Linked DNA regions of Rhinolophus ferrumequinum. The protein of the gene in region 1 purifies or fractionates together with the protein of each later gene. This does not show direct contact. Links are inferred from orthologs where the notes say so. Each region holds a gene or a part of one and is shown on either strand. Other genes may lie near its edges.

Region 1 (7,187 bases):
CCTCCTGAGGTTGTGTGAGGATGGGACCGACAGACAAGGTAGCTGGGAGCAGCTCTGGAACATAACACTCAACACTGTGAGCTGTCACCACCTCTGGGCTGGGACCTCCACAAGGGGCGGGGGGTTGAGGGACCCGCCTTCAAGCCTGAGGTGCTCACACTGTTGAAGACAGACAAGCGAGGGTTATAGTATCGTGTGGCGTCTGCTAACAACATTCACCCAGGGCACTGCCCAAGGAAAGGGAGCGGGCTGGGTAATGGTGACATCACACGTGAAAAATCTGCACATTTAACAACTTCCAAAAAGTGATCACCGTTCAGAGCACAGGTTTTTGGAGGCACCACCTACCAAACAACTTCTCACTTCCACTGGAAGCGTCCCTGGGTGTTACGATTCTCACTCGCTCCCCTAGGCAAAAAAGCTCACCTAATGCACCTTCGGGGCCACCTATGGCCATAGCCAGCTTGCTGTATGGGAAGGAGAGTGAGGCATGTGAGCAGTGACTGTTACTCATGCATCGTGTCATCAGGACAATCACTCATTTCCTTCTGAGCCCAGCTCTGCACCTACTCGCAGGGAGATGGGAAAGCCCTGATGGTACCATGGCTGGTCTGACCCACGAGCAAAACCCTGTTCTTAAGAAGAAGAGAAACGGGCATCAAAGTTTACACAATACAACACTTTCTTCAGGAGTTGGGATTCAAGTGTCCCAACATGATTAGCTTTAAAAACCAAAGGAAATCAAAAACCTCCCTCCATTGTGCCCTCTCCTCATCCTTCAAAGTCAGGGGAGCCCACACCTCCTGAGACTCACTAGGTGCTGTCCTTACGTCACTGGAGGACCCCAGCTGATCATCTCAGCACTTTCTGATCACCCAAGGCAGGGTAAGCACACGGTCCAAGCTTACGGTGGGACTCCTCATGTAGAGCTCAGACCAGAACAAAACCTTCAAGAACACAATGCCTGACAAGCCTCCAATCTTAGCAAATAAACTTCCGGTCCAAACTTCCCTGAAATTACCCATCTCCTGTCATCGCTTCCCAACATTTCTTCATCAGGGTGTCTGGGCACAACCAGCTTCTTGACCATCTTCACTCTCGTTGCGTAACAATCACTAGCTGCTAACAATGACGTTTTCCTTTATCATCGACTTCTATTGGAACAACGCGATTCAAACGAACACAATTTGACAGAACAACATGACAAAGGATGAAGAGTTATAAATGTGTTACTCTGATGGATTACAGAGGCCAGATCATACATGGATTAAGACACAAGCCTCTGAGTACACACAACAATCAAAAACATGGGGGCTGTCACCACAAAACAAATCTCACAAAAAGATAACCTGAAATACCAAGCTTTTAGATGTATTCAAAATTCTACTAAAACTGCAAAAAAAATTCCTATCAGTTTTAATTCAGAGGACAAAACAGTTGTCAAGATTTTTTAAAGGACAGCCTATTTTCAAAGTGCAACACCCCACTTAAAATATGTCATTTTAGTTGCATTTAAATTTTAATTTATTCGGCTTGTAACTTCTTTAAAAAAAAGGGAAAGAAACCAGAAATTAAGGTAGACCTCAAGCCCTCTCCCCTCTCTACCCCTAAACAAACAGGTTTTGCTACTCTTGATAGAAATTTTGTGTAAACTGAACTGTCATTCACTTGGCATATATAAAATGAAAATATAAATAACTACATAAATAACTATAGAAGGAGCAGGATCAAATTACTCAGAGTATATAAAATCACCTAGTTTCACTCTCAAACATGCGTCGTCACAAATTTCTTGGAGCGCCCAGTTTACTTGCTTTACTAATGGGGCGCTGTCCTCGGGGCCAAGAATCTCCAGAAGTCACACTGCGGGTGAGCGTGAGCGGTGAAGGGCAAGGATGCAGAAGGTCATGGGAGGGGCCAAGGAGGAGGAAAGGGGACACGACACAGAGGGACCCGAGGCTGTCCGTTACTTGGGGGCAAAAAAGGTGCATTTGGTGTAAAGACAATGAATTTTATAAGAAGGTTACGGGTTCACAATGTTCGGGAAGATGGTTGAGCAACGAGAAGTCACGATGTGGCCGGAAGTAAACTTCTGGGTTTCTAAGAATCAGGGCTACCCGCGACCGTGTGTGCGGGAAAGAAGTGCGCTGCTTTACTTTAGGACAGGCAGCTTCCTGCCCACCACCCTAAATCCCGTGTACCTTGGCTCGTTTAGGGGCACGATTAAGGAAAGAACAACCGACTTCAAGTAACAGCGTAAGGTTCAAGAGTAAAACCTGCAGGAGGAACTTGAAAGAATTGATAATAAAATCCCAATCCTCTTTTTCAAGTCGAGGGAACCGAGGCCAATCAGCTTGCCCAAGACCCACAGGTGACTAGAGCGCCTGGGTGGGGACCTGAGGCCTCCCCGCTGCAGTTATCCCGATTTTGTTTCTCGAGGCCCGTTTCTGCAGCGATTTCCACAGTTCTGCCACACGCAGGAGGCAGCCACCTGCAGCGGAAAAGACCCAGAACCCAGCACCCCGTCCGAAAACCCCAGCTCCCAGCAGGCTCTGTGACCTTGGGCTCCTTCCAGACAGAGCCCGCGCTGGGCAGGCCCGCGGTCTCGGACCCGGACCCGGGCAGTTCCCCGGAGCGGCCACGAGACCAGGGTCCCCGAGGGCCGCGGGCGGGTGCGGGCAGGGGGCGCGGACGCGCGCGGCCTTACCTTCGGCCACGTCCTCGTCGATGGCCCCCTTGACCTGCGAGAAGCACCACTGCAAGTCATTGGCGCCCGCGGGGCAGCCGCCGCCTCCGGCTCCTGTGGACACACCCGGCGCGTCAGGCCGCGCGGACCCGCCCGTCCCCCTCCTCCGCCCCCGCCCCGCCCCGCGCGGACCCCACCTGCCATGGCCGGCCGCAGGCTGGCGGGCGCCGAGTCGGCGGCGGACGAAGGAGGCTGCCGCCGCGCAGCTGCCGCGCGAGCACCTTAACCCGGCTGCCGCCGCCAGCGCCGGGGAGGGATTTTTTTTCCCCTTTTCAAAATGGCGCCCAATGCCCGTCGCCCTGCTCAATGACGTCATTCCCCTCCGCCTCCGGGCGGGGAGCTCCCCTGCGCTGGGCTGGGTGGGGCGCGCGGCCGCGGGGTCTGCCGGGGGCTGCCGGGAGGCGCCAGTGCGTCTGCGCGGGCCGCCCCGGGCTTTGTCCCAGGCCCGGAACGTGGCGCGGCGGGGTGGCCAGGGTACGTCGCGGCCAGCGGGCGGCTGTGGGCCCGGGGCTGGCGCGCCTCTGAAGACCAGCGGCAGGACCACCGCTATTCGCCCGTCCACCTCGGGGGTCATGGGAGGGCTCGAGGCGGCCCCGCCCGCAGCTAGTGGAGCGCGGCCAATAGGAGCGCGGTCCTTCGACGGAGCAGCCAATGGAGAGCACGCTCTGAGGGGCCGCACCTGGAGCGCGCCGCGTCCGAGCGCGTCGGAGCGCGTCCTCGCACCTGGCGGGGCTGCAAAGCTCTCTCTTCGGTCCCAGTGTGAGCTCCGGGAAGTCTGTGTTCGACTTGGATGGCAGCCAGGAGAGACCAGGTGAGCGAGGAGGGAGGGCGGGCAGATGGGGACGAGGTCCAGGGGCGGAGCCCCGCAGGAGGCTGAAGAGGAGCCACCTGTGAGGTGGGCGCCTGGAGACGCGGGAGCGGGTGGAGCCCGTGAAGCCGGGAGGGGGTGGTCCGCTCTTAACCGCTGCGTGCGGAGCGCCGAGAGGGCCCACTGGTTGTCGCGAGCGGGGTGCCATTTCTGACCCGGAGGAGAGCAGTCCCGGAGTGGACGGTGCAAACCTGCGCTGAGAGCGTTTTAGAGAAAGTGACAGGACAGTTAGAGGCAGTGAGTCACGGCAACCCTTTGTTGTGAGGACGAGCAGAGAAATGGGCCGTAATCTTTTTTTTTTCTTGTTGATTTAGCCGGTCTGCTCCTGAGCTGTTGAAAACGTGAGTCAGACTCTCTTATATGCAATGGCTTTCATGTGTGTTTAAGATAAGTCTTTTGAAGATAATTAGTTTTAGTTTAGACTGTATTCTTTGGTTAATTAGCTACGATTAAATTAAAATTTAAAAACAAAAGTAGCACAAAAGTACCGTGTTTCCCTGAAAATAAGACCTAGCCGGACAATCAGCTTTAATGCGTCTTTTGGAGCAAAAATTAATATAAGACCAGGTCTTATATAAGATTATATACATTATATTATACTATATTACATAAGCCCGGGTCTTATATTAAAATAAGACCGGGTCTTATATTAATTTTTGCTCCAAAAGACGCATTAGAACTAATGGTCCGGATAGGTGTTATTTTGGGAGAAACATGGTAATATATGCCTGAAGACAGTGAGCTGCCTTCCTTTGTATCTTAAAACATACGCTGTTGTTCTTCCCTGAATAACTTAAAAAAATTTTTTTCTTTGATTTATTTAGATTTTGGTAACTAAATACCATTTAAAATACTAAATGTGGATTGTTTCCAAGTTCAGATTTAGTAGCTAGCTCTGAGTTATCACAGATGTACCCTCTTGATAAGGAGTGCCATCTTCCACTCGAACTAAACACACCAGATTTTAGGAAGTTGTTCATATGAGGGGAATCCTGGTCCGCCTTCCTATGGGTTACTCGCCTTGGCCTGGCCGACCCAAGGGAGCAGCCACAGGAAGCCCCAGTGTGTGTCCCACGGGCCATTCATTGGGCCATTCATCCTCATCGTGCGACGCCAGGTGCTGCACACACAGCTGTGTCATAGAGTGCAGTGGCTGCAATTGTGTCTTGGACAATTTTTTTTTTTTTGTAAATTTAAGATTTATTATTATTATTTTTTAGAGCAGCTTTAGATTTACAATAAAATTGAGAAGAAGGTACAGAGATTTCCCACACAGCCCTGCAAAGCCTCCTCCCTTATCAACATCACTCATCAGAATGGTACATATTTTACCAGGGATGAACCCACATGGACATGCCATAATTACCCAAAGTCCATAGTTTATGTTGAGGTTCACTCCTGGTGGTGCACATTCTATGGGTTTGCACAAATGTACACTGACACGTATCCATCATGATAGTGTCACACAGTATTTTCACGGCTTAAAAGGACTTTGTGCTGTGCCACGTCATCCCTGCCTCTCCCCAACCCTGGCAACCACCCATCTTATTATTTCCATGGTTTTACCTTTTCCAGAATGTCTTATAGTTGGCTTTTTTTCATTTGGTCATGGGCATTTAAGATTCCTCTGTATCTTTCCATGTCTTCATAAATAATTTCTTTTTATCACTGAATAATATTCCATTGTCTGTGAAGGTGAGCAGAGTTGGCCACCCCAAAATTTGCCACTTTGGGATGTTGATTATTTGAGGCTGGTTAGTTTTAAGAAACAGCAGACGTGGGAGAAGCTTTGAGAAGCAAGAAGTTCTGCTGAAGGGCATTCATTTGTGAGGGCAGTGTCCATCTGTCCGGCATCTCCATCACTGTGCCCAGCCTGCCTTCACCATCGATGGAGAAGGCGGGGACGCAAGTCTGCACGACAGCCTGACTCTTGTTTCTTGTGCTTTTCCTGACAGCCTGCCATAGCTGACTCTCCACCCCAGCATCTTCTGTCTGTAGCCGAAGGTGGTATTTAAGGTGATGGTTTCTGCCATTTTGGTGACTTACTCAGTGTTCCTGGGTCTCTCCCATGTGTACAGGAGGCAGACATGTTATTAAACGTTAGTTTGTTTCTCTCTGCTAATCTGTCTCGTGTTGATTTGATCATTCGTCCAGCCAGAAGAACCTTGAGGGTACAGGATAATTTTTCCTCCCCAACATCTGGATGCAGCACAGTTTGTTTATGCCTCACCTACTGAAGGACGTCTGGATTCCTTCCGAGTTCTGGTGATTGTGAATGAAGCTTTTCATAACCTGCTGCCGCCTTACTGCTGGAGTTCAACAAGGCATTGAACTTCATTCCATTTTTTCTCTTTGTTCCTGCCAAGAAGGGTTGGCTCCTTGAATTTTTCTTCAGATGATGAAGAAAGGGAAGGAAGGAAGGAAAAAAGAAAGGACTACGTTACATGACATGACTTGACAAAAGGGACTTGGCTGATGTAATTAAGATGACAGACTTTAACTGTGGGGAGATTAGCCGGGATTATCTGTGTGCCCAGCCTAATCTCATGAGCTTTCAGAAAAGCCTAGCACTTTCTCCAGCTGGACTAGAGAGATGCAGAGTGTGTGGGGGGCTTAGCCTGCTGTTGCCGGACAGACCACACGGAAAGCATGAGAAGGGATGCGGCAGCCTTTGGCAGCAAAGACTGTCCTTGGCTGAGCCAGCAAGAAAATGGGGCCTCAGTCCTGAGCGAACTGCAAGGAACTGAATTCAGGCACCAGCCTGGAAGGGCTTGGAAGTAGACTGGTTCCGGGAGCCTCCAGACAGGTGCACAGCCCACCGAGAGGTGCCATTTTCAGCCTGGACAGAGCCAGCGGAGCCCACCTCCGACCTCCAGGGCTGTGAGATGACAGATGTGTGTGGTCCCGAGCCATTAGCTGTGGTAATGTTGAGGGCAGCAAAAGAAAATGGATACAGTGTGTCTGGTGTGAAATAAACAGACTCGTGTCCACTCATTCGTCCAGCTGTTCTTTGCTGTGTGTGAGTCTAGGCACTTAAATCACTCTGATTCACAGTGACATGGCGATGTGGCAGCCGTGTACGAACAGCTGAGTGCCAGCTGCGCCTGTATTTAGGCAGAGGGGCACCTCCTGAGGACTGGCGGGCACAGCTCGAGGGGACATCTGTGCTCTCAGTGTCACGCGTGCTCTCCAAGAGTCTGGACTCCCCAAGCATGCTCCATGATCCTGGTTAATGCTCACGGAGCCCTACACCTTCACGCTGACATCCCATTTTAGGCGAGGAAACTGAGGCTGAGAATAACTCGCCCAAGGCTTCGCAGTCACGCAGACTTACAGCCCATTTAAGCTCAGTTGTAACCTCAAGGCCCAGGTATTAGGAAACAACGGGCAAGGACACCCCCGCGTCCTCCCTGGCATGGCTAAGCCGTGGGGAGAACCCCAGCACTTGCTCTGCCTGAACTATACCTGCCTTGCCAGAAATACACCGTCATCCATGGCCCGTGAGCTGAACCGCTCGTGCCCCTCCCAGGACTGGTCTGCGTGGGGTGGGAGGACGCCTGTGCCAGGCCTCCA
Region 2 (7,526 bases), on another chromosome or scaffold:
GGAATGCAGAGGTGGACCTGATCAGCTGGGCGAGTCAGTCTCCTCAGTTTCCCTCCTGTCAGTTTCTTTTCAATAACAAAGCTGAAAGAGGACCCAAGTAATACAGTTTAGCAGGAGACAAAAAGTTTCAGTGAAAACCTTTTCCAGGATGGGAAGGGCTTCAAAAGTTGGCGCTTCAGCTATTTAATATTAAGTAAGACACCAACAGATTGAGCTGAGAAAAAAATCAAATTGGCCTAATATGACTTTAGAAAAGGCGGCTGGAAGTGGCAAGTTTCAAGAAACAGGCAGGCCACTGACATTAGTATCTGGTAGCAGTCCTCTGATCTGGGGGAGAAACCTTAAACGTGTCTCTCTGGATACTCACTAAAGTCAGCAAACAATGTCCGCAGTCTGTGCTTGACTGATATTAACAACCACACCTTCAATTTTCCAGCCTGGACCACAGTCTCCCTCCTCCCACCCCCCTCCCAACCCAGACTGGTGATGAACAGGCAAGGAGGCAGTGAAGTTGCTTCAAAATATTTAATACGTGTTAGACACGTAGAGTTACATTTTTATACAAAAATCAATACAACGAAGGAGAAAATACTGTACAAAAACCTTGTCAGCTCCCCCAACCTTTATACAACAAAGACTGGAGTCACCATATCTACAAAACCATAAGATCTTTCCACTTAAGGGTTCTGTCTGTAAACTTTGTTTCATTAAACATTTTTTAAAAGCACTGTGTAGTAGTTCTGAACTAGAGCTTTTAAAAATATATCTTTTCTCTATAAACTCCGTATTTCCAAGCTTGACCTCTTCTGAGAAGTTCGTCAAGCGTTTTTCCCTCTGGGGAAGACAAGGGCCGCTAAGATTCCCCTTTCCCAGAGTAATCACAGGGTATAAACGGTGCTTCAGTGAGAGAGAAAGGTGGGGAGGGAGAGAAATAATACAAGTCTCGACTGCAGGCTAAATCCCTCTAGTCTTAGGAAATCCTGCGAGGAAACGCCACTCCTGGCCCTGGTACCGTTCTAGCTTTCATGTGAGGGGTGTGTGTAAAGTCCCTTCCTGCCCCAAGAACGCGCGGGGAACTCCCCGGCCCTTTTCGCCGCTTCCTTCTTGGGGCTGCTGGCAGAGGAAAGTCCCTGTCTGCCCCCCGTCTCCTAAGCCCTGGCTGGGGAAGGGGTGATGCATTCCAGAAGGACAAAATAGTCTTAAATCACAAAACAAACTTACAACACAGACATACACAGACACACAAGTGAACGAGCGTCCTCTTCCGATAAGCCTCACATGCCCAAGTCTCAAGAAGGGCCCCGAGAGAGAGGCCGGCACAGCAGGGTGCCCAAGGCCACGGGCAGCGCGCACTGCCGGGCAGCTGCCACAGTCTCCCCAACACGCTCGGCGCCCACGGTCTCCGGGTCGTCCTCGCAGCTGGGAGAGGCCCAGCCCTCGCGTCGGTACGCCAGCTGCTCACTCGCCTGCCCGCACGGAGACCGAGGGCTCAGAAGGCCACGATGGCTGTGCTCCAGGGGTTCATGTCTCTCAGCACCGGCTTATCGCAGCAGATCTGCCCGGGCTCGGCGGCTTCCGGACCGTTCTCCTCTCCGTCGGCTTCCTCCCGGCCGCCCCCGGGGCTTTTCCGCAGGAGTCCCGAGAAGCTGGAACCGAAGATGCTAATAAGGTTAGCCACGTTCCCGGTCTCCATCTCCTCCTCCTCCTCGGCCGCCGCCCCGCTCGACGGCTCCTCCAAGTCCCGGCGGGGCTTCTTCAGCGGGGTCGAGCTGGGCGCGGGGCAGCCCGCCGGGCCACCGACGCCACCCGCCCCTGCCGCGCCGCGCTTCCTGGGGCCGATGGGGGGCGGCGCGGGGGCCTCTTCCTTCGCACAGCAGCAGTCACCGCGGGGGGTGGCGCCCAGCGCCCCCGGCTGGTCCTCCCCTCCTGGGGGGCGGCCGCAGTGGTGGCTCGCCGCCCGGGCCACCTCGGGGAAGACTTCCGAGGCTCCGGCGGGGTTCCCGGGTCCTCCGGCCGCTGCCTCTCGCGGTCCCTCCATGAGGCGCCAGGCAGGTCCCGCAGCCGCTTGTCCGCCCAGGACAGCGTCCCCGGCGTCGATCCCGGGAGCCGCGGGCTCCGCGTCAACCGCCCGCTGAGCGTCTGGGACGGCGGAGCGTTCCGGGTGCGGCTGGGTCTCCTGCCAGGCGGCCGGGACGGCCGGCGGTGCCGGCTCTCCCCATCCCGCGGCGGGGCCGGCCGCAGGCTCCCCGGGCAGCTGCGGCAGCGCCATCGGGGTCCCTGACGGACCGGCCAGGTAGAGGCCGGGGCACGGGTCGCTCAGGTAGACCTGGCGGGCGCTGCGCAACACCAGCGAAACCAGAAGGTTCTTGTGCAGCTTGATGCCGCCGCGCTGGACCCGCGAGTTGTAGATCTTGCCCAGGGAAATACTGACGATGCGGTGCGCCTCCAGCTTGAACTCCATCCTGCCTGGAGCCCCTTCACGGGCAGCACGGAGAGGAGGGTTGAGCCCCGGCTAGGGTCCAAAAACAGGGAGAGAAATTGGAGGAGTCAAGAAATCCTCCCCAAGACTCCAGAAAGAAACGATTCCTGTGACGCGCTTATTGACCTCCGCGTCCCCTCCACAACAGGTAACTACCCAGTTTCCTGTCCGGTCAGGTGCCTGGTCGCTAACTGAGGGCAGTCCCACTCCCCCGGCGCCTTATATATGCTCCTCGCCCGCCAATCGCGAAGGGCCGCCAACCGTTCCGGGGCGGGTCAACGCGCCCTCATGCTCTACACGCGGCCAATCGGAGACCGAGGAGGGGCGCCAGAGCCATTCGAACGTTAGTCCCGCGGAGCAGGCTCTTAAAGGGGACTACGCGTGTGGCGAGGGACTGGCGGGTTGTGCGGCGTCTGTGTTCCTAGGGCGGGTGATGGGGAGGAGGCATAGCCACCGTGTTGTTTGTAGGTAAAGAATCTGGTTTGTGCGCTGGTGTGCCAGAACCAAAGCGAGCTAAGCCATTCGAACTTTCATCCGAGTATGGTGGTGGACCTTGCTCTGCAATAAAGTCCGGATCTGTCCTGGTTCACCTCCCCCCACCCCCGCCCCCACACTTCCATTTTCAAGGCAGCACACACCTGTAAGCTCCTGGCCAACCCTGGCAGAAATGAAGATAACAGCATAATGCGGCAAGGGAAAGCCCCTGGACAACAATAGTATTACTATAAGAGATTTAGCAGATATTAATGTTGTATGAGTCCCTTGCCCCCTAGAGTCACATACACTCTTAGCAGCCATCAATTCTAACACGGAATGAAGAAAACGGGGGTTCGAAAAGTTTCTCAGTTTTGGTTGCTTATCAAGGAATTGTGTCTAGGTAAAAAGTTACTGGTGTTCCACTAAAGCCAGCATCTATTATTGTGTGTTCTCCAGATTTTAGAACAAACCGTTGTCACACAGGTTATGAGGAAAGGTGGGACAAGTTCTCCACAATGATTTTTCCTTCAACCCAAGGACTGACCAGCCACCCTTGAAAAAAAATCGAGCAAGTTCTAAAAATACAAATAGAGAAGTCCTGTGTTCTCATCATGATGTCATAATTTTATTTTGTGTCAAGGTAAAAATATAGGGGAAGAGTGTTCCAGAATTTTCTGGTCAGTCAACAACTTAGCCCTTCTACTGATCCTTAGTACATGGCATTTAGGGCAGAATCACCACAGGGTTGGCCAGGGTCCTAGACTGGGTTCCTGGAGAATCAGTTTCAGTTAGACCCACCTAAGCTCCACCACAGACCTGCCTGACAACTGAGTGAATAACCTCAGAACACCTTAGTTTCGCCAGCTCTAAAAGGGAGAAATCTCACACACACACACACACACACACACACACACACACACACACACACACACATCTGCTCTATTATGCAGAAGGGAAATGACAACTCAGCCACAATCTGAATCATAAAACGAAGTACAGCTTTCTCGGAGTCCAGGTGGAACTGTTGGCCTGACCAGAGTTTGGCCAAGTAGTCTACAGACACGCCACAGAACACAACTGATTTTACCACAGGCTAATTGATATAAACAAGAGTTAAGTTCCCACAGCATCTCATCAACCTTATAACGAAACAATTGAAGAAAATGACATTGGAGGATTTGCTATATTTAGTTAGAAGAAATACTAGTGAAAAGTGGGCTTGATGATGGCCAAGTCACAATCAGAGGCTCCAAAGGATGTGATGGCTCAGAAATATCACAACTTATTGAAGGTAACTGACACACCGGTCCATGAGACCCAGAGTTCCTTCCCTCCAGGAATTTGCAGCTCACATAAAGAAGGAGAGGAAATAATAACACAAATAATTACAAAAGCAAGCCTTGCAGTTTGAGGAATAACATGAGAGAAATGTTTCCATTTTCTCTTTCTTTGAGAGCTATTAGTTACTAAAAAACACTGAGTAAGAGTACAGGCTCGGAAGACAAGCTTCTTGAGTTGCAATCCCAGCTCCACATTTTACTTGCAGTGTGACCTCTGGAAAGTTATTTCACCTTTCTGTGCCTTGGTCTTTTTCATCTTAAAATAGAGATAATAATAGTGGCTACCTCTTAAGAGTTTTTGTGAGGCTAAAACAAGGTAACACATGCAAAGCTCTTAGAACAGCCTGGCATATAATAAGCTACCAATGTATTTCAGTTATCAGAACACATCACCCCCCAATACAACTTTGGGGTGGGAGAAGAGGCATGGGGTGGGAGGAGGAACGGAGATGGGAGAAAGAAGTTGCATTTGAGGAGGACACAGAAAAACTCTGAAGTAGGACCCACAAGTTCCAAGCAGCAGGAGCAACAGAGCCCCTGGTGGAGACCATCTCATTTGGCAGGTGTGCCAGACACCTACAGGAGGTGGAAAAGGATGGAAACTGAGGCTGGTGCTACATGATAATGGGTCGTGGATGCCTCAATAAGGAGATGGGGGCCACAGGAATCTACTAAAGGTTATTGAGTAAGGGAACCAAAGAATGGATTCTAGAACAGTACACTTAATTACAAAGAGAACCACTTAATCGTAAAGCACTTGTGGAAGTTTAGGCAAAGGGTCATGAAGGACTGAACTCGGTGGAGGTGGCAAGAATGAAAAAAACTGAGAGACAAAAGGAGCTTTAGTGATGACCCGGGATGCCTCCACCCACCTAAACAGGTCACTGATAAAGCCGTCCTGACCAATCTGGGCGGGGTGTATCACCATCCTGCACCGTGTGAAACATTCTCTTTCATCTCTGACCTCCTCACTTTCCGCTGTCATGCCCAGGGCCCCTCCCAAACTGTACTCTCAACAGAGGCAGGAGTCCATCTCATATTTGTAGCCAGGCAATAGTGAAAATACTTAACTGTGTTGCCACAGTTAACACAGTTAACACACAGGGCAACACAGGCACTAAGCATCAGAGCGGAGTCCTGGAGACGCTTAGAGGGCCAGGAGTTATGGGAGGCTCCTACAGGAGGGGCAAGATGGCCAGGACGTGGGGCACTCAAGGGGTCTGCCAACTGGCATGGAAGACTTTCAATGTTTTAACAACAGGGGTGGGTAGCCATAGCACTATATACTGAGTGATTATGCATTTGGATTTATGAATCACTAATAATGATATTGTCTGCCAGGCACTGCGCTAGCCACTTTACAGGCATTATTTATCATCTGTAGAAAGTTCTGAAAATATTACATATCATTATATCCATTTACAGATGAGGAAACTAGGATTTTAAAAGTTTAAGTAATTTTCCTAAAGTCATACAGCTGTAGGCAGAGAGGGTGGATTTCAACTGTGAACCTATTTAAAGCTTGAGGGAAGGGCTGTGAGGTGCCACTACCTTATTCTACCTCTTACTTGCTATATGACTTTTGGAAAGTGATTTCACATCTCGGTGAAATAAGAAAATCCAGTCTGAGTTTTGCAACATTTCTGTGCCTAGTCACCTATTGTGTAAAATGGGAATAATAAACATACGTACAGTCTCTAGCACCATACAAGCGCTTACTAAGTCTAGTTATGGTTATACCAGTGCCTAGCTCAGTACCAAGCACACAGTAGGTACACTCTTAGTCCCAGTTGAATTTTGAATGCGTTTTCTATTATACCACATACTAGGTGCTCTATAAATATCTGCTGACTTGAAATTGAGTGCGATCACAATTATTATCCTCTACTCCTGAGACAACAAAGTACAACCTGGAGAACTCATCTTTGGAGGGCCTAGGCTCTTAGGATCAGCAAGCTTCACCTCCGCCTACCAGAAAAAGTGGGAAGATACAGAACATAGTCTTCTAAGCTTTAGGAAGCAGGTAATTGAGAGAGTTTGCTGTCATCAATCTTTGAGATTTTCTCAGTTAAAAAGAAAAAAAAAACTGGTAGCACTATGAGAAACACGAAGGGTGTCCGAAGGACAGAGGAAGCAACTGCTCTGTGCTCTGGAAGAAGTGGCCAAGCATGTCCATTGGGTCTGGTCTGTCCGTCCATCCCCCATCTTCTCCACTGGGCACAAGGAGATGAACACGCGGAGCGTTGGCCACAGTTGTCCCCAATCAGGCACTATGGGTCTCCGGCCTGGGGATTCCTCTCAGGAAAGGGCTGTCTACCCACTGCTATTGACTTTGTCTTGTTTGCATGACTCGTTGAAGGCTCAGTATTATCAGATGGTTGCAGAGCTCCTATTGCCTTAAATTGGGTCTAGTCTATATAAGAACAATGCAAACCCACTATGGATTATGCAAACAATAGCTCCGTGAGAAGAAACGAGTGAAAAGGGGGTGGGTGAAATAAAAACATCTGCACTGTGCCTACCTCTCAATGTTAGAACATTTGGAAATTTTTTTTTTTAGTCAAAGTTGCTCATGTGAGTGAATGATTATTTGTATGACATCCTGAATTGTTTAGGGGGGAAAGCGCTATAAAAATACATTGTTAGCATTCTACGTAAGCAATATTCCTCGTGCTCCTCTGAGAACACACAAAATCCACTTTTTCATTCAACTTTTTCTCTCTCACAGTTCTGGCATATTTTACATCCTTTCTTTCCTCTTGACTGCTGAGCAACTTAACAATTGTCACCCCAATAAATTAAAAATAAATAAATAAAAATTAAAAAAAAAGATATGAAATGTTTACCATGCTAAAAAAAATAGAGTTTCTTTATCTTCAAATAGCATTTGACTAGGGGTGGGCACGGAAACCTCGCTTCTTTCCTCCTCCCCATTTCCTTTCCTAAACTATTATAGGCCCACCCTCCTTCTTGTCCTAAATGTTGTCTTGGTTCAGAAAGCCTTAGGTGGTTCTTATGATCATTTTTGTCATACTTTGCCTTTTTTAATACTGCGAAGGAAAACAAATTCCTCAATAAGCAGTACACTTGGATTCATTCACATGGACCTAGTACCCTCTCAAGCCACAAACTGAGAAAACATCACCATATAAAATCCCAGATCTGCACTGTTCAATGCAGTAGCCATTAGGCCCCTGTGGCTCGTGCACTTGAGGAATTGAATTTTAAAT

The links.
Region 2: the proteins of PPP2R2D (region 1) and IER5 purify together in Homo sapiens (affinity purification with mass spectrometry; 3 studies listed by BioGRID and IntAct, counting the BioPlex papers as one, with this or other methods). This does not show direct contact. The link is inferred for Rhinolophus ferrumequinum from reciprocal best matches to the Homo sapiens genes PPP2R2D and IER5.

What each region holds. Positions count from the first base shown.
Region 1 is NC_046299.1:1,054,372-1,061,558, forward strand, and holds the start of PPP2R2D (serine/threonine-protein phosphatase 2A 55 kDa regulatory subunit B delta isoform), read right to left. Parts: upstream 2,891-7,187; coding exon 2,884-2,890; coding exon of another isoform or gene 2,801-2,883; coding exon 2,708-2,800; coding exon of another isoform or gene 2,576-2,707; intron 493-2,575; coding exon of another isoform or gene 450-492; intron 1-449. Other genes in the region: transcription initiation factor TFIID subunit 4, read left to right, coding at 450-492, 2,576-3,557. UniProt on the Homo sapiens protein: Substrate-recognition subunit of protein phosphatase 2A (PP2A) that plays a key role in cell cycle by controlling mitosis entry and exit. Involved in chromosome clustering during late mitosis by mediating dephosphorylation of MKI67.
Region 2 is NC_046305.1:13,388,735-13,396,260, reverse strand, and holds IER5 (immediate early response gene 5 protein), read right to left. Parts: upstream 2,690-7,526; 5' UTR 2,462-2,689; coding exon 1,490-2,461; 3' UTR 512-1,489; downstream 1-511. UniProt on the Homo sapiens protein: Plays a role as a transcription factor. Mediates positive transcriptional regulation of several chaperone genes during the heat shock response in a HSF1-dependent manner. Mediates negative transcriptional regulation of CDC25B expression.